Linked DNA regions of Arabidopsis thaliana. The protein of the gene in region 3 interacts with the protein of the main gene of each other region in a pairwise test. Each region holds a gene or a part of one and is shown on either strand. Other genes may lie near its edges.

What was found.
Region 1: the proteins of NAC062 (region 3) and AT5G13780 interact in a two-hybrid assay, tested with the Arabidopsis thaliana proteins (one large-scale study listed by BioGRID).
Region 2: the proteins of NAC062 (region 3) and AT5G19570 interact in a two-hybrid assay, tested with the Arabidopsis thaliana proteins (one large-scale study listed by BioGRID).

What each region holds. Positions count from the first base shown.
Region 1 is NC_003076.8:4,445,347-4,453,222, forward strand, and holds AT5G13780 (Acyl-CoA N-acyltransferases (NAT) superfamily protein), read right to left. Parts: upstream 3,330-7,876; 5' UTR 3,258-3,329; coding exon 2,958-3,257; intron 2,543-2,957; coding exon 2,264-2,542; 3' UTR 1,945-2,263; downstream 1-1,944. Other genes in the region: AT5G13770 (Pentatricopeptide repeat (PPR-like) superfamily protein), read left to right, coding at 115-1,944; AGL15 (AGAMOUS-like 15), read right to left, coding at 3,782-3,947, 4,106-4,257, 4,332-4,373, 4,586-4,627, 4,699-4,798, 4,903-4,973, 5,042-5,102, 5,275-5,456; PPH (pheophytinase), read right to left, coding at 6,717-6,968, 7,051-7,207, 7,307-7,498, 7,599-7,825. UniProt on the Arabidopsis thaliana protein: Catalytic subunit of the NatA N-alpha-acetyltransferase complex. Required for male gametocyte development, embryogenesis, suspensor development and the formation of the quiescent center (QC) in the root meristem.
Region 2 is NC_003076.8:6,602,057-6,609,233, reverse strand, and holds AT5G19570 (uncharacterized protein), read right to left. Parts: upstream 2,671-7,177; 5' UTR 2,496-2,670; coding exon 2,082-2,495; 3' UTR 1,913-2,081; downstream 1-1,912. Other genes in the region: AT5G19580 (glyoxal oxidase-related protein), read left to right, coding at 1-175, 314-1,639; ROPGEF10 (ROP uanine nucleotide exchange factor 10), read right to left, coding at 3,104-3,508, 3,594-3,920, 4,005-4,277, 4,622-4,696, 4,799-4,953, 5,064-5,180, 5,814-6,000.
Region 3 is NC_003074.8:18,359,769-18,368,851, reverse strand, and holds NAC062 (NAC domain containing protein 62), read left to right. Parts: upstream 1-3,892; 5' UTR 3,893-4,134; coding exon 4,135-4,312; intron 4,313-4,582; coding exon 4,583-4,863; intron 4,864-4,957; coding exon 4,958-5,197; intron 5,198-5,289; coding exon 5,290-5,586; intron 5,587-5,681; coding exon 5,682-5,891; coding exon of another isoform or gene 5,892-5,915; exon of another isoform or gene 5,916-6,009; coding exon 6,010-6,213; 3' UTR 6,214-6,409; downstream 6,410-9,083. Other genes in the region: AT3G49551 (uncharacterized protein), read left to right, coding at 1-31; AT3G49550 (uncharacterized protein), read right to left, coding at 208-651; AT3G49540 (uncharacterized protein), read right to left, coding at 2,449-2,853, 2,957-3,052; AT3G49520 (F-box and associated interaction domains-containing protein), read right to left, coding at 8,102-9,083. UniProt on the Arabidopsis thaliana protein: Transcriptional activator activated by proteolytic cleavage through regulated intramembrane proteolysis (RIP). Transcriptional activator involved in response to cold stress.

The sequences.
Region 1 (7,876 bases), on a different chromosome or scaffold from region 3:
TTGTTTGAACGTGTGGTCGAATTTTATCGTGGCGCTGAATTAGCATCCACAAGTGAAGAAAACAGAGAGAGAAAGACAGAGAGATCTCTCTCTCCTTCACACACACAGATACACATGGCCATCGCGAGCGGGTCATGGGTAGCCACTGTGAACCACCATGCTAATCCCCACAGCTTCACTTCTCCGACCAAACCCATTTTCTTTCTTTCTCAAAAGCCTCACAATTTCCATGTCTGCTCGTCTCGATGCTCTATGGTTCTTGAGGAAGATGAAAAGAAGTCACCGAGTCCTAAAGAAGACAAGTGGCCATTTTTTGAACCTGGTCCGAATGACCTTAACCGGGTCTTATCCAGGTTTCTCCGAGACCCGGAAACTCGGAAACTTTCTTCTGAATTCTACGAGAAAGCTAAGGAGAACTCTGAGTTGAGAACGACCAAGCATCTGATAAGTTACTTGGTGAGTTCCAAGAGTTGGGACTTGCTTGTTTCTGTTTGTGAGGATCTCAGGGAACATAAAGCATTGCCTGATGGGCAAACGTGTTCGAATCTGATCAGGAGTTGCATCAGAGATAGGAAATTCCGAATCACACATTGCTTGCTTAGCGTGTTTAGATCAGACAAATCATTGGCGGTATCTGCATCTGATGCAGCGATGAAAGGCTTTAACAAACTCCAGATGTATAGTAGCACCATTCAAGTATTTGATAGGTTGAAACAATCTGTGGGAGTTGAGCCAAGCCCGGGTTGTTATTGCAGGATAATGGAGGCTCATGAGAAGATTGGTGAAAATCACAAGGTGGTTGAGTTGTTCCAAGAGTTTAAGAGTCAGAGGTTGAGTTTCTTGGCCAAGGAATCAGGCTCTATCTACACGATTGTATGCTCGTCCCTTGCAAAATCAGGACGTGCATTCGAAGCTCTAGAGGTTTTGGAGGAGATGAAAGATAAAGGAATTCCGGAGAGTAGTGAATTGTACTCTATGCTGATCCGTGCATTTGCGGAAGCGCGGGAGGTTGTAATAACCGAGAAGCTATTCAAAGAAGCAGGAGGGAAGAAACTGTTAAAGGATCCTGAAATGTGTTTGAAGGTTGTACTCATGTATGTCCGAGAAGGAAATATGGAGACAACTCTAGAGGTTGTGGCGGCGATGAGAAAGGCTGAGTTAAAGGTCACTGATTGCATACTCTGTGCGATTGTGAATGGATTCAGTAAGCAAAGAGGCTTTGCTGAAGCAGTTAAGGTTTATGAATGGGCTATGAAGGAAGAATGTGAGGCTGGGCAAGTGACTTATGCAATAGCCATCAATGCATACTGTCGGCTTGAGAAGTACAATAAGGCTGAGATGTTGTTTGATGAGATGGTGAAGAAGGGGTTTGATAAGTGTGTTGTTGCATACTCAAACATAATGGATATGTATGGGAAAACACGGAGACTAAGCGATGCAGTGAGACTCATGGCTAAGATGAAACAAAGAGGGTGTAAACCCAACATTTGGATTTACAATTCCTTGATTGATATGCATGGAAGGGCTATGGACTTAAGGAGGGCTGAAAAGATATGGAAAGAGATGAAGAGGGCGAAGGTGTTGCCGGACAAGGTGAGTTACACTAGTATGATCAGTGCATATAACAGATCAAAAGAGTTGGAGAGATGTGTGGAGCTTTACCAGGAGTTTAGGATGAACAGAGGAAAGATTGATAGGGCCATGGCAGGAATCATGGTCGGTGTATTCTCCAAAACCAGTAGGATTGATGAGCTAATGAGGCTGTTGCAGGACATGAAAGTTGAAGGAACCAGGCTTGATGCTAGGCTTTATTCCTCAGCTTTGAATGCTCTGCGTGATGCTGGTCTCAATTCCCAGATCAGATGGCTACAGGAAAGCTTTGACGCTGCACAAACTAGTACTTCAAAATATTCGAATACAAAGAACACAGGAACTTTAAGTTGAAAGGGAAAACTGTACAAGCCAAGATTATTTTTCTTGTAATTAAATGTACTATATTGCCAATAGAGATCTGCTATCTTGCAAATAGAAGATTTCCAGCTTAAGTTGTAAAGCCTTAATGAAAGCTTGGAATTTCCAAAATGATACATCAAAAAAAGGAACGGCTAAATTTTCAATACAACCAAAGAAAGACAAAGGAGTAACACAGAGTGGTCACCAAATGTATTTGTCACTCGGAATCATATGAATGGAAATAGTGAGAAGTACTAGAGCGAGCCAGTGAACCCACCTCAATATACTCATAATTATCTGCTTTCGAATCTCATTTGGAAACTGCTTTACCATCTACGGCTTGAGCTGTTTCTACAACTTTTGCATCACCAGAACAACATCCTCCTCCATGGTGATGATGATGACCGTGGGCGTGGTGATGGTTCTGCTTCCCCTTGAGATTCTTCCGCATGTCATAAGCATCCTCCCCATCGGCGTAGTACTTTGCTTCTACATCATTAATCTTGTAGCCTAATGTCTCAGTGTATAGATTGAATGCTGCTCGGTTACTTCTCCTCACATGCAACGAAACATACTCAGCCTCGTAAACCTGCCACAAAACCCCGACCGAGAATGAATTTAAAAAGTCCAAGTTCGAGAGTGAAAACAACTATCAACCTTTGAGGTCTGCTATTATTAGTTTCACAGGCAATCAGAAACTACTCGTCTCCGTCAGTCAAAAGCATAACACGACCGGAGACAAAACTTAATCTCTTTATACAATCTACAGAGCTTAAGTTACTTCAAATTCCAATGACAATTGCAACAATCACTTTGACACACAAAGTTTCTAACTTTCAATAAAATCCTTTAACTTACACCATTATATCAATCTTCAACATAAACTCAAACCACACAAATTCTTCTATATCATCCAATTATTCAACACGAAACTCTATATCAATTCAATGAATCTGCTTAATTGAATGCAAAGATATACGAAATTTGAAGATTAGAGGAGTAACCTGTTCCATGGCAGCTTGAGCGGCGGTCATGAGCTTAGTGGCGAGACCGAGCTTGCGATGGGTACGAAGAACGGCGAGAGAAGTGATGTGGCCGTGGCACTCGTTGCTCTCTTCCTCCATCTTAGCCAAGACATAGCCAACGATGCGACCATTGTAGTCCTCGGCGACGTAGAGAAGCTGAGGCCATGAGAGGATATGGTAGAGGTAGTACTTCATCTGGTAGTTCTCAGGAAGACACATGAGATTGCAGGCTTGCATCGCCAGCAGATCATCCACCGTCGCTCGCCTGATGCAAACCATGGCTGCTCAATTGCTCTCGCGCGGATAAAGAGGGGTTAGGGTTTTCGGTCTAATGCCTTTGGGCTTTATTAATCTGGGGACGAATTGTAATTATAGAGAAATATGAGGTCTTTATTGAAACTTTTGCTTATATTTTAGGGGCATTTAATGAAATTCATTATAAACTTTTTCAGTTTAGGATTTGAGGTCCAATTGGGCCTTGATTGTAATGGAGTAGGAAGATTCCGATAACCTTCACTTTCTATAAGCTTATTTCTCCGCAAATTTTCTTACTATACGAGATGTCAAATAACTCTGTGCCTTGTAAAGATTATGGATTTCAAACTCTCAGCTAGGCATATCTTTTTTATAGGAGAGACAGTCGAGAAATAATCAAAAGAAGAAGGACAAAGAGAGTTGGTGCAGAGATTAGATAACTGAATCTTCTCTTCTTTTTGCAAGTATCCCTCTAAAATTACTTTTAAAACAATCGGATACTTGCTAAAGAGGAAACATTAGTAGCCTTCTCCCATACTTTTCTAGGACTAAACAGAGAACCTTTGTCTTTTGGCTTCAGGTGGAGAATTTGCTAAACTAGACTGATCCCCTCTTTCTGCAGTTTCGCTGCTCGTGTTTGTTGTCACTGAATCGCTTGACGGGCTCTCTCTTTCTCCTTCATTCGTCCTTCTATCATGTGCCTCTCCCGGCAACCTTGGAGAAAACACAAGTAGTAAGAATTTTATAACTCCAGTTAGTGAGTGTTAAGGCATATGCATAACTAACAGAGGAGGAAAAAGACTTATATTTATCTTAAATCAGCTTTCCAATAATGCAACCAATGACAGCAAATAGACTTAAAAGAGCAATACCCTAATTGCAAAGTTGTGTCTGAATCGGTGTTCTGGAGGCTGCATTTACTGTCGTGGTTTATGAGAGCGTTCTTTGGATCTATAGCAAAGCATTTGATGTAGGATGGAACATAGTGGGTGAACGACGGGAGAAAGCTCCTCAGTTCTTGAACCTGTTTCAACAAGTAATTACAAGTCAGAGGAAGAAGCGTTCATTAGGAGATGATTCAACAAAAATAATAAGAACCTGTCTACGCAAGGTCTCGTTTTCCAACTCTGCTCGTTGTTCCTGCAAAGTATATATATGGCTAATCAAGAAACGAATTATACTTTTGCACTCTGTACCTAGTTATATAGGAGTCTTAAGACAAATAAACTGCACACTAGCTAGTTAGAGCATGAGCTTGTCAAAGGATAGCCACTGGTTTTAACAAGGTTCAGAATCATGTGATTACACATAAGCTTACATTTGGAAGCTAGAGAGGAAAAGCTAGTGTTTACCTTGAGGCGTGATTCTTCAAGTTGGTTAGTCAGCAATCGTTCCTGAAATCAGATAACCATAATCAGGACAATGCAAAGAGAAATGATGATGGAAGAGTGATATTACTAGTTACCTTTCGCTCTCTGACAGTAATCAATGCATGATATAGTTGCTGCTCAAGGCTTTGCAGCTCTTTAAAGGTCAGAGGATTCAAGCCCTTGCCCTGCAGTTGTCTACAACAGAACAGAACACACAAAGCCAAACACTAAAAACAAACACAAAGTAGAGAAGAATAAAGTAATGAACAAGCATAGTGAGATTTATTTAGTTTCCATACAAATGTTTCTCTTGAAGCTTTGAAAGTTGATCCTTTAAAATATCCACCTCTGCACAATCCTCCTGGAGGTTCTAAACAGCAATCAGATTTTCAAAAAAACAATTTCAAGATATATGAGACAAGAATGAATGATTCTCACCTCTGCTTTAGAAGCTGAAGAACTCTGGTGATTACCGTATCTGGAAAGTGTTTGCTTCATTCTAAAATCAAATGAGAATTCAAAATTAGGACTCTCTTCAGCTCAATCAGAAAACTTTTAATCTTAACAAACATGCAAAAACAAAAATCAATTACAGTTCCCGAAATCGATTCTAATCACAACAAGACAAGACATGCAAAAACAAAATTGAATCAAAAAGAAATAAGTGTTACCCAGTACTGGAGTACTCGAAGAGCTTGCCAGACTTAGAGAAGACGATGACAGCAACTTCAGCATCACAAAGAACAGAGAGCTCACGAGCTTTCTTAAGTAACCCAGAACGCCTCTTGGAAAAAGTGACTTGTCTGCTATTCGCATTCTCGATCCTCTTTATCTCGATTTTTCCACGACCCATTTTCCCCCAAAATTGAACAGAGAGAAGAAGGTAGAAGGAAGAAGAAGAAGAGGAAAGGTTCAATGTATTCCAAAATGGGTTTAGAAGTGCTTTTTGGGAATCTATTAATGGGAACACAAAAGATTGCTAAATTTGGATGGAATATTTTTGTTTTTATAGAAAAAAGAAAGAAAGGTAAAAACTCGGTAATGAATGTTGTGTGTTGCATGGCCACTGTTTTGCGTGCTCTCTTTTTTCAATTTTAGGGTTTTTTGCATGATACCTTTTTGCCACATTTGGAGGATTTTGTCAGTTCTTCTGGGTCCTACTTTCCCTTTTCTTCCTAAAGTTGTTTTTTTCTTTCCTCTTTTTTCCTTCCCTTTAAAATTAGATTTATTAGTACTAGTGTATTTTCTCTTTAATGTTGTTGTAAGACATAAATCAGACCAACAATGTTGACCGACATAAAAATAAAAAAAAGTTCAGAGCAACAATTAGAAACAATTTCAAAGTACCCCCAAGAATAAAATTGCAACAACTAGCATTGTTTGATGGTTACCATTATGTTATCAACTAGTGAGAGATAAAAAAACATACTGAGAAGTAATTTCTTACAACTAGTGTAGAACGACACTTTAGTAGCAGCTTTGTAACACCGGTTTTTTTTTTTTGACACTCAAATCAATAAATAGATAACGAGATTTTATCAGAGACTAAGAAACAAATTAAGAAAAGAAGCAGACCAAATCTCATGTTGGATATATAGCCTGTGTAAGTAAGTTTCTCAAAAGTGGTTTGGATAGCCTTCTAATTCAGTCCCTTATTTGTTGACCGTGGAACTGACAAAAATGAGATTCAAGCTAAGGGAAGAATATGGTCAAGGATACGACTTTGCCTCGAGAAAAGTAACCAATGATACGTCTTTTCAAACACCATACATGTTCAATAAAACTGTTCACCTTTGGAAATTATTAACAATTCAAATACACTCACTTTCTTCTTTTGGAATCAGAGTAATTTCAAGCTCTCTTCCAATTTTTAAGACAACTCATATGGCCTGCAATGTCGCCTTCCTATATTAATCTGAACCTGTGGATTATATACAACAATGCAAGAAAGGAGTTCCTTCGATTTAGGTGACTAACTATCAAGTAGATATTTTTCTAACTTTTCCTTTTGAACATTTTAGAAACTTGATTCTACAGACAACATTATATAGCTAGCATCGGATGCAACATAGATTACAATTAATTTACACTAGACGACTGTTCCATGCTTCTTCTATGCAGACTTCCCTCCAAACACCCTTATAAAACTGGATCTGAAAGATTCTCTAACTCCTCTCCAGTACGTATAGTTTGACCCATATAACCACAGATTCACTGCTTTTTTCCAACCATCTCTCGGGAACTCAATTTCTCTACCAATCCTGGACTCCTCCCAATCTTCTTCAGTGTCCTCCAAAAGCGGGAGCGCTTCAAAACCACCAGACTCCAGGTGCTTGATCCACCCGCGCATCAGATAGTTCACCACCTGCTCGTTTTCATATCCCAAATGGTGGGTTCATTATACCTAATTGCAGAGTTTGAAGAATTTATTGACTAGTTCATTATACCTCAGGGACTTCATCGTGTGGGCAGTGACCCGCTGGGCTGATCTCGTAGTATGGAGCGTTGGGGATTTCCTTCTTTATCTTCTTTCCCCATAACGGTCTCACCCATGGATCTTCTCTTCCATACATGAGACATATCTGAACATTGTTTTCCTTACACCTAGCATAAACCATCAAATAGCAGCATTCCTCATAAGCAATAACACCAATCACGCAGAGTAAAAAACATATAAAAACAAGAAACCACACTGTCTTATACCTAGATAAAGCTTCGGAGAAAGATAGCTCTCCACCAGGAGCAAGCATGATTGAAGCAAACGATGCTGCAGCAGCCGGATGCTGTGTGACCTCCACAATACGTGAGAATACTTTATCCACATTGATAGAATGGTCTGTGTAGACCTGTTTAAGTATCTCAGCTATGCTTTCAGGATCACTTATCTTTTGCCACCTGCAGTTTCATTGGGAAGTAAAGATATTAGACTGATAGAGATAGAAATAGAAAATGATACTTTTCAGGTGAGGAGATGTGTTAATAAAGTCTCCCTTACACCAATTCTGTGATTTTTTTCACTCTTTCCGGCAGAGGGAATGCTCCGGGCCATGGAAAGAGACGTGCTAGCTTTGGGGATCTTACTGGATTAGGGAAGAAACCCCAGAAAGGTGTTGCATTAAGCAAGGTAACACCCTTAACCAGGTGAGGATGGGTTGCTGCAAAGTAGAGAGCTACATACCCTCCAAGTGAGTTCCCTGCAATGTACACAGGCTCACCGATAACCTGTACAACACAAATACCACATACTCTTACCGACTCAGCAGCTTATTTCAG
Region 2 (7,177 bases), on a different chromosome or scaffold from region 3:
TATGCCAGTTATCAACAAGGTCCAGTACTATGACGCCACCATTTGGAGAATTTCAAAGATTAAGTTGCCTCCAGGCGTACCATGCCATGTCGTGGACGCTAAGACTAACAAGGTCGATTGTTGGGCTCATTCGATTCTCATGGATGTCAACACCGGCGCCCTTAAGCCTCTAGGGGTATGTTCAAACTCACGACACCATCTTTTTTTTTTTTTTTTGGGCCTAGGCCTAGACACGGGTTATCTTCTTCTCATTAAATAGAATCATATTATACGAACTTGAATTAAATATTTGCATTCACATGTTTCATGATAGCTTTCCACCGATACATGGTGCTCATCCGGAGGTCTGACCGTAAATGGTACATTGGTGAGCACTGGAGGATACGGAGGAGGAGCCAACACCGCGAGGTACCTATCCAGCTGTGAAAACTGCAAGTGGGAAGAATACCCTCAGGCATTGGCCGCGAAGAGATGGTACTCAACGCAAGCAACTCTCCCTGACGGAAAGTTCTTCGTGATTGGTGGAAGAGACGCCTTGAACTACGAATACATTCCTGAGGAGGGACAAAACAACAGGAAGCTCTTTGACTCATTGCTCCTCAGGCAAACAGACGACCCGGAAGAAAACAACCTTTACCCTTTCGTCTGGCTTAACACCGACGGTAACCTCTTCATTTTCGCTAACAACCGATCCATCCTTCTAAGCCCCAAAACAAACCAAGTCATCAAGGAGTTCCCTCAGCTCCCAGGTGGTGCCCGTAACTACCCGGGATCAGGTTCTTCCGCACTCCTCCCCATCCAACTTTACGTGAAAAACCCCAAGGTCATCCCAGCCGAGGTTCTCGTCTGTGGTGGTTCCAAACAAGACGCGTATTACAAGGCTGGTAAAAAAATATACGAACCAGCACTACAAGACTGCGCCAGGATAAGGATCAACAGCGCAAAGCCACGATGGAAGACGGAGATGATGCCAACCCCACGAATCATGAGTGATACTGTCATCCTCCCTAACGGAGACATCCTTCTAGTCAACGGAGCTAAACGTGGTTGTTCAGGCTGGGGATATGGTAAAGACCCTGCCTTTGCTCCCCTCTTGTACAAGCCCCATGCTGCACGTGGCAAGCGTTTCAGACAGCTCAAGCCCACCACCATCCCACGTATGTACCACTCCAGCGCCATCATTCTTCCAGACGGTAAGGTTCTTGTCGGTGGCAGCAACACCAACGACGGTTACAAGTACAACGTTGAGTTCCCAACGGAGCTTCGCGTTGAGAAATTCTCCCCACCTTACCTCGACCCGGCTCTAGCCAACATAAGGCCAAAGATCGTCACCACCGGCACCCCAAAACAGGTCAAATACGGACAATTCTTCAACGTGAAGGTCGACCTTAAAGAAAAGGGAGCAACCAAGGGAAATCTCAAGGTTACCATGTTAGCCCCTGCCTTCACAACACACAGTATCTCAATGAACATGAGGATGCTCATCTTGGGTGTCAATAATGTCAAACCTGCTGGTGCCGGTTACGATATCCAGGCCGTTGCACCACCAAATGGAAACATCGCTCCACCGGGTTACTATCTTATCTTTGCCATCTACAAAGGTGTTCCCAGCACTGGAGAATGGATTCAGGTCGTCTAATGACGATAATTTTTACCCATTTTGTCTTATGACCGTAACATCTTAATATAAAACAATCACATAATATCAGTTTTTTTTTCCTTCTATATATATTGTTTATGCCACCATTAATGGATCCAAATTACTTGTGTTTTCTTTCACTTCTATAAACTTTTCCGTTCATGTAAACCTTTTCGGTGAGTTTTTATGACTAAATTTTGTATTGGAGAAATTCTTTTATTATTACTTTTGGCTCTATTCTTTCTTCACTAGTTCGGTTTTGCGTATAAATCATTCGATGCGTTCATTGCAAGTCACTGTTTGTTTCATTGACTAGTAATGTTAATTACCTTCGATAATATTGCAGAGAGTTAGCTAAAATTCTCAAAAGATGGTACACAAATAGTTCTTTCGCAAAATAGATCTCACAGAAACAGAGTCACGGTTTTACAAAATTCGAATTTCACAGAACACAAAGCCAAATTCCAAATACAATAAAGCTCGTACCTAACAAAGCAAGTCCGATTTGAGTTTCTTCCCCTAAAAGGATCCCAAAAGCGGCGGTTGCGGCAAAGGTTGTGGCGTTAGTCACCGGAACGGCAAGAGAGATGGGAGCGTGACTGAGAAGGGCGAAGAATGTGGCGGAGGCGGAGAGGTTTATGAGGAAAGGAATTGAGTATTGCCAGAAGAGGAGGAGATTGATCCAGTCGCGGAGAGCAATCATGATTTTGCGGCGGATCTGAAGAGGAGGAGAATGAGATTCTGTTGTCGAAGAAGACTTTGTTTTATCCCAGGCAAGAGCGCCACGACGGATCAGAGCATTGGTGGCTCCCCATACGAGCCCTACCGCCACCATCTTATCCATGTCTTCCTTCATCGCCGGTGGCTGATCCCGATTTGCCTTTTCCGTTGTTCTGTGTTTTAACCACTAAATGTTGAGTAAAGGAGATCAAAAAGAAGAATTATTTGGATATCCAGAACCGACCCGAACCCGAAAGGTACCGAACTAAACCCGATCCGAAAAATTTAAAAATCCAAATAACGGACCCGAATACCTGAATAGTCCGGATGGTAAACACAGATCAATGGTATTATCACAAACCACTAAATTACATGTCGTCATCAAATAATGTTTCATTACAATACTACTACACTACTAGTCATTATCAATGAGCTTCAAAATCCATTAGGAAACAATGTTGTAGATTAGACGTTACAATACAAAACACCAAAGAACAAAAATACCAAAATATTGTTACACACTGAATCACACTTCCTTCTTAGAAAAAACAACAGGAAGCAATAGTCAAAACAAGCAACAATCATGATCAAACACCAAGTCTCATGTCCAAATCCTAAAACCAATGCCTGCATTGTTATATATGTACATTCTCACACACTTTAACCTTCTTCTATTCTCTCTCTCTCACTCTCTTTGTGTTTTTCTTCTTCTATGCCCTGTTCTATTACCTTCTCTTTTCACTATCAGTGTCTGTCACTAGGGCTTCTCATGTTCTCTAACTTTGCTAGATATGAAAATTTCTTCGGTAGAGCTCTTGGAGACTTCATCATGGGCTTCTCCTTCTCCTGCTCAACTTTGTGGAAGAATTCTATATCACTCATTGAACTATGCTTCTTAGTATCAGATGACAATCTCCACCCTATGAAGTCTGATAGTTTCCTCGAGTTTGGTGTTTCCGCTGCAACCACCTTTTCAGTTTCCTCGTATTCTGATTCTGCCTCGCTTTCTGATCTTGTCTCTGCCTCTCCCATCAACTGTCTTTGAACTAGCCGATCGGCTTCAAGAACATCCTCTATTCTTGACATTATCTTTGAAGCAAGACTCTCTAGTACCCTTGAATAGCTCTCCAAAATCGCCTGTCCAACATCCTGTAAGATCAAATCACAACAAACTCTTACTCAGTCTCACTACATTTTTGTTGATGTTTGTTTAGTCTTTGTTATGTTATGTTACCTTGTTGTTTTTAATCTTGGAGACTTCAAGGGAGGATTGTGGGATCCCAGGAAATTGTTGTTTGAGCATAACCAAAATGGTCTCAGCTCGGACTTCGAAAAGCTCCCTCTTCTCTAAGCTAACAGTGGATCCCCACTGAGATTTCCCGTCTTTCTCTTTCTGGCACATCTTCCTCTTCCAGATCACCATGGAAGCTTCAATCCTGTTCTTTAGATCAAGTACTTTGTGTTCCGTTGACAAATCCAAGAAAGAGACAAAGTAGTCAGGATCAAAGCTCTCCTCTGTTATGCTCTTGTAAAGAAAATCTCCCAAGCTTGTCTTCCCATTCTACATAACCAACAGCCTCATCAGCTTCCTAGCTTAGTGGAAATTGTAAAGAAACAGAACACTTTTGAAGAAGAAGTAAGTAACCTTTGGAAGGGAATCAATGTAGTTTTCAGGAACGTGCATTTCAGACAATACATGAGCATTGATGGCCGTGGCGGCTTTAAGGACTTGAGCCACAGAATCTTTCTGATTCTGCAACCATCTACGTGATTCCTCAGACAAGCCATCTGTTGGAACCTTAACAACTGGTAACCACCAGTTCTCATCCCTCCTCCAATCTCCATTGTGATCTGCATCCTCCATATCTCTTGGCACATACCAAAAGTCTTTCTGATCCTTGAAGTTGTCCAAAGTTTCCTGCCAAATGAGTAATTGCATTAGTATGATAAATGGTCACAACTCATCTATTTTTGTTTGTTATATATATATATCATGATCATTTTATAATACATGCACTCCTATATGAAATTAATTAATGAGATGGTACTCTTGGTGTTATGACGTTTTCAGTTATATTTATCTTTATAATTTGCAAAGATGACTATGACTTGTAGTATATATAGTAGTTTGTCCTAGTGTCATGGATATTGTTGCAAACAAAATATTTTTGAAACGATGTGGTGTTTGATATAATATAATGGTTTAATTTTTCCCAAACGTTGAAACCGCGGTTGAAACAATCAAGTAGTAATTAAACTCACGAGAAGAACCGAGTCAAGTTTGCGTAAAGCTGGAATGTTCGTCAGCAAATCATCTCTTTGTTTTGTAACCATGATCTACAAAGGAGAAAATTAGGGTTAATAAGAAAAATCGTCACTAGTAGACTAGTAGTTGTTATATATGTACGTAATTAATGACTAACAGTTGCATGCATTCACCTCAGTGAATTGGCCATTTTTACCCATTTGTCTAGAAGGAACAAACTGGACAATGTGATCAATCACAGATAATAACCAACCCATTTCTTTCCTCCAATTCTCTTTTGTCTCCGGATACATAGGCTGCAATTTCATCTGCTCTCCAAACATCGAATCTGCATGCCAATACCAAAGCCACATTAATTAGTTTGTGACTTATTTTAACCATTCAAATCGTTATTAGACATTTAATGTTTTAATCATATTAGTAGTGTTAAAGGTTTACCAGCGAGTTTGGTGATGGCGTTTGACAAAGCTAACGCAGAGGTCTCCCCTGTCCCACCGCCTGACATGTCCTCTCCAAGAAGCAGTTTTGCGAATCTTTCCTTCATCACTTCCATGTCTGAAACAGATATCAATACAAAGATTATGTAAGGAATCCAACATAGAATAATATTAATTAAATAGTTATCAAAAATATATAAATATTAGTTAAAGAACTCATCTTTATACAACGATATTGGTAATTCTACTCTTACCAATTGATTTTCAGATCCAACCCATGCATCTTACACAAATGCAATCTAAATGCAATTCATTATGCTATATACAATACATCTAATGAAGATATTAATACATCTAATTCATTGTGGTTTTGGGATAACATTTTATTCGTTTATGTGGTTATCAAATTTAGCAATAATTAATTATTGCGGATCACATAATTTTTTTCCGTGCAATAATATCATTTTCCTGTCTATATATAATTTATAAAATGAGGACTTCTTATTTCGGTCAATATATATAAGCGGGTAATAAATGATTTAGAGATTCTACATTATCATTAATTGGAGCATTAATTAATTATTGGTGCAATGGATATATTTACGAAAATATGAAATGGATATTTTTTAGAAATTCTTTCACCTAAAGTTTTCTTTCTACCATTATATTATCTCGAAATAAAATTTTCATTTCCATTAAATTAAAATTTTGCCATTACCATTTACCAAATAAACTTGCACTAATATGTTACCTGATCTCCTATTTTGCTTGCCTCTACGAGTGGATGGTGCAGCATGTCCGGCGAGTTCGTGCTCGGGTGTATGCATGCCATCCCCACGAGAAGAGAAAGATGAATGTCCAGAGTTCCGACCATCGAACATCTTTCTAAAACTAAAAGATCTTGGCCAGCTTAGTTTACGTCCTAATGTCCGCACCATTCCCAATTTACTCCTCTCAATTTATATCTCTCCACACACTTTTTTATATTTCTCTCTTCTTTTTTCTTGTCTCAGATCGTATTATATAAAAGAAAACAAAGCAAATGAAATCCACAAAATGGAAGAGAAGAAAGCAAAAGAGACGTACAGATCAAGCAACTAGTCCTTTAGCTCTCCCTTGTCTCTGTTCTTTCACCACCGAATGAAACAAAACTACTTTATGTTCTGTACTTTTTTCTTTCCAGTTGTTTTATGTTTTTGTTTTTTAGTTGGTGCAAAATGAATGAAACAGAGAAATGTTGAAGTAGTTTTCTAGGGCTGGAGAGACAACGTGCGGTCCATGTTTTCAAAAAACAAACAAAAGATAAATAGTGGAAGGGCGGTTAAAGATACTCCGACTTTTCCTTAATTTATTTTATCTTTCATTTGTTTAGAATTTTACCTCACGCTGCTCAGGTTTTGATTCACTGGAACAATTTCGTGTAAGAAAATTGTTCGTTATTTGAACTAATCCACATTTCGTTAAATGAGCTTGTAAGAACATTTTCTAAATAAAATATGTCTACAAAAATGTGACTGGCTCAACCGATTAGAAAAATGATGTTTTAGAGTTACCCGCCGGACCGAGTTAGAATCCTATGTGCTATAAACTTGGAGAGGGATAATTTATGTTTTGTGGATCGTTATTGTTTAAGCCTGATCTCGAATTAAGTAAGACTATGGATCAAATATAGCTGGAATTTACAAACTTAATAACTTAAAAAGAGAGACAATCGAATTTTAAAATCAGATTTTGACTAATTCGTTAGTGCAACAGTAGCATGGAGGCATGTAACACGGCGACTCTTTACCAAGTCTAAACATTTCTGTTTATCCTACTAATTTAAAAGATTTGATTTCAATATCTTATAATACTGCTTTAATCGTTTAATCACGTCGTGTAATTTATCACTTTGAAAAGTGGTGTTTATGACCATTTTCTCATCCACTCACTGATGTATAAATATTGCATTGACATTTTTTTTTATCAAGCGGCTTAAACAAATGAGTCTACCTATAAATGGACACATTGAAACAAGTTTTCATTAAAGAAACAAAAGAAAACTAATTAAATACAAAAAACCATATAACCTCATTCCGTTTTACATTTTCTTATCTTTCATGTTCACTATATGTC
Region 3 (9,083 bases):
GAACGTCCAGAACAAAGTAGCAGAATCATAAAGTCTCTCCTACGTTAAATACTACATAGAGTTCAACAATACTAAGATAAAAGTGCTTCTTCAGACAGAGAGCTAAGCCTAGACTCTCTGTAAGAGCACATGAGTAAATATCTCTTATTGCATACTTGTCCAAAACGAAAAAGAAAAGCAAGTTATTCTAGGTGAGATAGAAAAGAACTAGTTAATCTCCATTCCATCTCCACCAGCTTGGCTGCAAAAAGGACTCACAGCAGCAAAAGACCTCTCAAAAGGAGAAGAATGAAACTGAGCATCACGTCGACGACGCTTAACACAACTTTCAGAAGGTTGTTGTTGACTCTCATCATCAAGCTTCCTCCTCACTCCTTTAACCGCCTGTTCCTCAACCAAAGAAAGCGGGAAAATCCGACCACTAGCTCGACACAAAGAGTTATGATTATCATACAAAATCCTTTGGTTGCAGTTCTTGTCACAAACATGAGTCAACCCAGTTAGTTTGCAACGGTACATATTCCCACACACATTCTCATTCTCGCATTTCCAATCACATTTGTGATTGGGTCCTTCGTGACCCAATATAGCAGATAAGTAAATAACATTAGCAGAGCCAACAACCACATGAGATTTTCCAAATACCTCCATTGTTTCAAAGTTACTCAAAGCTTCAAACTTTCTTCACTCACTGCATAACCCAAGAAAACCCGAATTAAAAAAACGAAATTGATCCACTATTAGAGATAATTTTTCCTAATCAGGCATAAATTTCAATCAAACAGATTTAATCGCAGCTGATAAATCGCATTATGAGATCCAACAAGAAGAAGTAATAAAATTCACAGAGATTAAATAAAACAGACCTGATCAGAAGCAGCAAATTCTCAACACTAATTTTGACTCGGCACTGAATAATATTTGTTGGAGAAAGAAAGTTTGTGAAGAAGAAGAAGATGAATTGGTCATTTTTAACTATTTATAGAAATCAATCTAACTCCGTTACTTGAAAAATAAACGGTATATTTATTTATTTTTATTGTCAATTTTAAAAATGATTACAGATTTCTTGAGCTAATTTATTGATTTTCTACAATTTCTTTTGTCTTTTCTTGGCGGTTAATGGGGAAATTCACGTGTCTATTAATTTATGGTTAGAGATACTACTAAAATATCTACTCGTATATTTGCATATTAAATGGCCTATTTAATAGGCGTGGGCAGGAAATGGTATTTGATAATGTAATTAATTAGTTATTTGGATATTTATTTATAGAGTAAGACGGCAGAAAAAAGTCCGTGAAGTAACGGTAAGAGGAACTGAATCAAACCATTCTCACATTTCTCAAGACTCTAACCATTGAAATTGAATTTTTTTCTCTTTTGGCCAAACAAGAACTAAGAAGAAGAAAAAACGACTATAAATAGATGGCACAAGTCATTCATCACAAAAGAGTAGCTAGACCTAGAGAAAGCTAGCTAAACAAGGATAAAACAAAATACGTAAACACCTTGTTTTGTATTATACCAATAGAAAGAGTTAAATCAGAATTTGGAGGAAGGTGTACGGAATCCATCCACCGTGAGACCACAAATTGAGGTAACATGATGATAGAAGTTTTGTTGTAGCGACGAGAACAATGTTCCGTATACTTCATATACTGCTTAAAACCAGAAGTGTTTATGCGACAACAACCTTCATCACTAGTCCAATCCTCCGAATCCTGATGAATGATGAACTGTCAACTCTTGTGTCCGCAAGTTACCAGATACAAAACAAGAGTGTTTTTGACTCCATAGATAGATAATATCAGAATCAAAGGGATTCATTGCCACTTGAAAACATTCGAATATACTCCAACAGATGCAATGTTGATTTCCGGTGTCAACAACTGCCAACATTCATCCTCTAAGTGTTAATATTCAGTCTCCAAATCCTCAATATTCGATGTAGTATTTCAATGCAGATCCCATCTCCTCGTGAAGTAGTCAAACATCTCTTAACATTCTAACATTAAATTGAAATCATTTAGTAATATTTGATATTTTTTCTTCTTTTCTTTGACACTGCCAATTACGATTTATGAGCAGGACTTAAGATTGCATATACAATCAAATGAAAGATGGAGTCACATCACAAGAATAAAAAGATCAATGATCAAATGAAAGATTTTAGTTTTCAGGGGATTTTGCATCTTTCAATGTTTTCGATTGTATCTTCCGGAGAAAAAAGAATCAGAGATCGTAATTCACACACGAACACGTTCGACTTAAGAAATGTTGATTACAAATTTTCACGATGCAAAACTGATTTATATTTAATTGAATCAAAGAAGAATCATTTTGAGATACAAAGAACAACAAAAGCCAAACCAATCTGGTAGTAGCAAATCAAACCAAGGTGACATACAACAACATTCAAAATACTTTCACAAATTTAATTAATCATCAAACGGTGACAACAGCTTCTTTCTCTTCTTGTTTACTCTCCTCCTTTACTGGTTCAGCCTCAGCTTTTACTGGTTCAGCCTCAGCCTTTACTGGTTCAGCTTCAGCCTTTTTCTCCGCTTCCACTGCAACCTCAACCTTTTCGGGTGCAGCTACGGCAACCGCCTCCACCTTTGCTTCAGCGTTTTCTGTTGCAGCGTTCTCCACTTTCTCAGGTGCAACTACTGCAGCCTCACCAGCATCAGCAGAAGAAGACTCTTCGACGGCTGCAACCTCTGGTTGAACAGCAGGAGTTGTTTCCTTGGTCGGCTCGACCGGAAATGTCTCCTTAGCTTCGACAGAAGTTGTTTCAGTGGTCTCAGCCACTGTCTGGTTCTGTTTCTCACCGCTTTCTGTGTTGTTCTCCTGTATTAATTAATCATACCAAAAGATCATAACCGGTTAAGCCCGGTTCGGTAACAAAACCTAATTAAATTTTCATATTTAAAACCTAGAGATTAATTGTTACCTTGGCTACTACGTTTTCAGAGACAGGCTTGTTAGGAACAGAGCCTTCTTCGTTTTGCATGTCTGATTCCTTGGGTCTACTCGCACAGCCACCCATTATTATATATTTTTTTGGTTTTTGTGATTTTGGGTTGGGTTTAGGCTGTGGAGTGTGCAAAAAAAATTTACACAAACTTTTTTATTTTTCTCTTCTTTTTTATTAATGTTGACCCGAGGATTGAGCAAATGAAGAGAACATAATCATGGTTATATAGATGAAGATGATTCCGATTTTTATGGAGAGCCTTTGGTATTTTTTCTTGTGTGTGTTGAAGTATTCAAATTGGGGATGGCTAAGAATAGAGTTTAGCAGAGAGGTAAGAGTAAATTTAGATAGATGTTTCTCTGTATTTGAAAAGCTTCATTGATATCGTCAAACTTTTGGAAGTTTTGTGGACCTCTCTCGTCTCTTGTTGCTAGCTCTATTTTTAGCCGGTCCTAGCTCCAGAATTTTAATTCGATTTTTTGAATTTTGTAACTTGCAAAGATAAGAGGATTACGCCGTGTAAACGATGATGAATATCCTAATGATTATGCAGCTTTTTACTAATACATAATTTCATGAAAGAAGTTTTGATTAGGTTTCCAAAAGTCAAAGAAAGCGAAAAAATCTAAATAAATTAAAAAAGACAAGTTTCCAAAAGTCAAGAAAAGCGTAACACCATCCCAAAAACAAAGTGACATGCACCGAAACTTCCATTCCTTTCCACGTGTCATTACATCATTCGTTCTATGACATTTCTCATCACCTTCTTTTACAACAGTCATTCACTTCTCGCTTTTACCCCTGCATCTAGTTAATATCCCAAAGTCGCTCAAGGGCAAAACCATACTTTAACAATTTCCAAACCGCGTAACGTACTTGGTTTGCCGCGTGTACACACCACGCGCTGCCATCACCATATAGAACTCACAAAAGGAAAGAAAAAACCAAATCAAAGCTCACATCTGCCTTCTTCTTCACTTTACCAAAATCATCGAATCCATTTTTAGGGTTTTTGTTTTCTCTCTAAATTTTTATTGTTATCTTCTTCGCGATACCTTGGAATCGCATCTCTGAGATAGATAAATAATTCTGATTCGTATCTTTAAATCTTGGGTTCTTCTTCTTCTCGCGATTCGTTTAAAAGAGCAGCATCAATGAATCAGAATCTTCATGTATTATCAATGGATTCGTTACCAGTTGGATTAAGATTCCGTCCAACAGACGAGGAGCTAATCCGTTACTATCTCCGTAGGAAAATCAACGGTCACGATGACGACGTCAAAGCTATCCGTGAGATCGATATTTGCAAATGGGAACCTTGGGATTTACCTGGTACTTACTTACTTACTTCTTCATCTCTTTATTCATAAATTTACACTTTTTCTATAGATCCTCTTTGATTTCTCTGGCATTATGTTGAATTGAGAAATGGTAGAACTTAAAATTTGTAGCTTTAGTTTCTATGGTGAAGAAAGTTAATAACTTTAAACCGATCATATGTGTTTGATATAGTTTAGTTTTGGGTATGTGGTTATATCTCTGTTAAGGTGTAGTGTAAGTGACTGAAATTTGATTAAAAGATGTGATTTTTTTTTGTTGTAGATTTTTCTGTGATCAAAACTAAAGACTCAGAGTGGCTCTACTTCTGTCCATTGGATCGGAAGTATCCGAGTGGAAGTAGACAGAACCGGGCAACAGTTGCAGGGTACTGGAAAGCCACAGGAAAAGACCGGAAGATAAAATCCGGTAAGACTAACATTATTGGTGTGAAGAGAACTCTAGTTTTCCACGCGGGTAGAGCTCCTAGGGGGACACGAACCAATTGGATTATTCATGAGTATCGTGCCACGGAGGATGATCTTAGTGGTACCAATCCTGGCCAGGTAAATAATGCATACTTTTAGATGTGTAACCATTGGAAAACTAAATTTGGCTCTGTAGCTTATTGTGTGCTTGTGTTGATATATATATATGCAGAGTCCGTTTGTTATATGCAAATTGTTCAAGAAAGAAGAACTGGTTTTAGGGGAAGAAGATTCGAAGTCAGATGAAGTTGAAGAACCTGCTGTCTCGTCTCCAACTGTCGAAGTGACTAAGTCAGAAGTATCTGAGGTAATTAAAACAGAAGACGTGAAGCGTCATGACATAGCAGAATCTTCTCTTGTAATCTCTGGAGATTCTCATAGTGATGCTTGTGATGAGGCTACAACCGCAGAGGTGAGGACATTGAAAAATTCTCTTAGACAGTTTTTAGATGATTGTCTCTAGTGTCTGTTTGAATACTAATGATGTTTATTTTCGGCATGCAGCTTGTAGATTTTAAATGGTATCCGGAATTGGAGTCCTTAGATTTCACGCTGTTCTCTCCATTACACTCTCAAGTCCAATCTGAGCTTGGATCCTCTTACAACACATTCCAGCCTGGCTCGAGTAATTTTTCAGGGAACAACAACAACAGCTTCCAAATCCAGACTCAGTATGGTACAAATGAAGTAGATACGTATATATCTGATTTTCTTGATTCGATTCTCAAGAGCCCAGACGAGGATCCAGAGAAGCACAAGTATGTTTTGCAAAGTGGTTTTGATGTTGTAGCACCAGATCAGGTACATGAAGATTCCTCAAAACTCATTATATCATTTGTATGTACTTCTAGAAAACAGAAATCGTATTAACTCTTAACTACTTTACTTGATTGCAGATTGCGCAAGTGTGTCAACAGGGCTCAGCAGTTGACATGAGCAATGATGTTTCAGTGACGGGTATCCAGATTAAGAGTCGCCAGGCACAACCCTCAGGTTATACCAATGACTATATAGCGCAGGGAAATGGTCCAAGAAGGCTGCGTCTGCAAAGTAACTTTAATGGCATTAACACGAAGAATCCTGAGCTTCAAGCTATAAAGAGAGAGGTGAGAATAACACCCACCTTCTGATGAATTACTCATCCTTGGTTTCTTTTAGCGTGTATGTGGTTTCACGTCGCAGAGTGGAATCGATCCATGACATTAAAATGTTAATGCTATGCAGGCTGAGGACACGGTTGGAGAAAGTATAAAGAAAAGGTGTGGAAAGCTAATGAGATCAAAGAACGTGACCGGTTTTGTGTTTAAAAAGATTACGTCGGTGAAATGTTCATATGGAGGACTCTTTAGGGCGGCAGTAGTTGCAGTTGTGTTCTTGATGTCAGTCTGCAGTCTAACCGTCGACTTCAGAGCATCTGCAGTGTCCTGAAAACTGAAACTTTTTGTAAATATAGTGCTTGAACCGGCCCGTGTTTTTGCTTCTGTTATTGGTTTCAGGCTTTCGCCAGTTTATAAGATATATTTGTTTGTAGTTTTTACATGTAGTTAGGCTGCTTATGTAAACGTTATGATGACAGAGAGGTCAAGACTCTATTTACTTCTTTGACTTATTAGAGTTCTTCTCACATGAGTTCATTCTGGACAAAACTCGGAAGAGAGAAGTCAAGCGATCGAACCGGAGAGATCACAATAAAACTCATCAAAGGGCAAAAGTAAGTTCAACAAAATCATTTATCACAAAACCAAAATAATGCAAGCAAACTATATGACCAAAGCGGCTATCAACAAGAGAAAGGAGAGCGAGGCAACCATACCATAATCCTGGATTACCCGTAGAAGTGAACATAAACTAACATACACACTTTCTAAAATTGCCTAAACCTAAGATTTGTACCACCCAACACCACAAACAAGATAGCAAATGCAGCAATCTCATGGACGGAGGAATACAAAGGTCAGACGTTACCGGAGAGGAGGCTAAAACGGAAATAAATAGTATTAGTACCTAAGCATTTATTTAATAATACAACTTATGAATTTGGGTTTACAACGCTAGACGCAAGAAAAAAAGTGGAGCTTGTGGTGGAGTCGCAGAGGAGTATACATTCACTGTGTGGTATTCGTGTCAATAATTCACAAAATTGGAAGGGCTATAAATGTTTTTTGGCAATTTTTTAAATTACCATTAGAATGAGTTTTAGTTCCAAAAATATCATCATTAGTTTCTTTTACTCAAAAATACCACTGAAATGTCTTTTTAGTGTTTGTCTTTTGATTTTGTTTTGTCTTTAGTGTTTGTCTTTTGATTCTGAACGTTTTATAAAAGTGTATACAGTATATATTAACAGTGACTTGTGAAAGATTCAGAATTCTCTCTTGCTTCCTTTTGTCTAGGATGAGGCAAAGACTAAAACCAACCCTAGAGGAAAAGTTTTGTCTAGGATCCTCCTCGTGGCGATTTGTTCTATGCATCACACTTGCAACTAATTAGCTTGTGAACAATGAGCTAAAAAATGAGAGGAGAAAAAAGAGAGACGGAGATGCAGAGGAAAAGTTTGTCAAAGGAAACTGGATCGATGAGTCATGGCTCGTGCTCCTTCAAACCAGAACAGCCAAGTGTAGAGAGGAGTCAAATTGATGAAGATCACCAAGTTGTATCAGAAAATTCTGACCGTTTGTCATGTGTTGGAGCTAGTTGTGTATCACCCTTTGGTTTGAGAGGACAGGGAAATGAAACCCTAGTCAAAAGCGGTTCCGTTTAGACCGAAAGAAAAAGGAGTCAGAAATGACTTTGAAGCAGAAGATGGAGGCAGCAATAGCTGAGAAGAAGAGACAGAGGGAAGAAGAAGAGGGAAAGTTGAAGGATGACAAAAGACAGCGTGTTGCCAAAAGTCCGAGACAACAAAGAAAGGATGATAAAAAAAGCTTGTAGCTTTTATAGATCGAATACTACAATCACCGAAAAACACTGTTCTTGGACAGGTGAAATGAGATCAAAAAGTGATGATCGGAGAGCTTCTAGAGAAGCTTCTAAGGTATGCAATTTTCATATCTCAGTGACTTGTTATACAAGGTATTCAATTTTCATAATCATATACTCTGTTTGTTTGCTCTGGTCAAGATGCAGATATTATCCATGTTTAGAACATCAAATACCCGAAATCTAAAAAGATCTTCAATTTCTAAAAAGGTTTCAGATTGAAATATTCAAACAAAAAACTAGAAAAAGTGATCTTTACTTCACTAATGTCAACAATTGCTTCAAACTAAAAGCAGTCTCGTTCAAACCAAGAAACAAATACAGTATTGAAAATGGACTAAACTTGCAGTTGCAATAAACTTGGAACATAAGAAGAGCGCACAAGTTCGCCTCCTATCCAATGGGAATTCGAGATTACTCCAATGTTGACAGATTTGAAGTATCCATCATCTCCAACGATGTAAGCCATTTGGTAGCGACAGGTCTCTGTCACTTTAGTATCAAAAAGTACAGCGACTTTCTTCTCCTCGTCGATAAAAAAGCTTTTAGGTTCAAATCTAATCAAAAAATCATCCGTTAAACCATTGATTAGTGACATATCCACTTTCAAAAAAGTGCTCCACGAAACCGCATTGGGCTCAATCTTAGTCGAAATCCAAATCTCTATGATGTCAAATGTGTCGTAGTGGCTATATAACACAGCGAGCTTATCATCTCTAGCCCAAGATAGAGCCAAATATTCAAAACTAGGAGAGGGAAGGATAAACGGAAGAGGCAAACGCGGTCCAAATCTCTCGGTTGTGAAATCAAAACAGCGTAAATAATCTTCAATGCCTGTTATCAACAAGTCTTCTGTCCCCACTTCTGCCTCTGTCGTTACCTCTCGATCGAAAAAGTAAGCATTTCCCTTCAAAGACACGCCACTTTGATAAATGAGTTCATCCCTATAGGGATTATCATCAGGAACCGTCCTCCATGAATCAGAGCTAAAATCGTAGACATCAATATGACTTTCGTTTTCCTCGTTCAACCTCAAGATTTTGTGGTTACGGTTGTTGTATCCCAGAGCAAAGCTGTCATCTCTGTGGAATGTGTTTTTGGGTCGAATCCGTTTGGTTTGCCCCAAATACGGATTCCATAACATAAGACTCGAGTTATCTTTGGGGATGCATAACAATAAGCCATCGCAGTGATAGACTCGAGATATCTCGACTTGATCATCATTATTAGGTATGCTTATTTGTTTCATAGATGGATCAACCAAGTCTTCTTCGTCTTCGTTACGGATTTTTTGGAGATCGAATCTCAAGGAACAAACC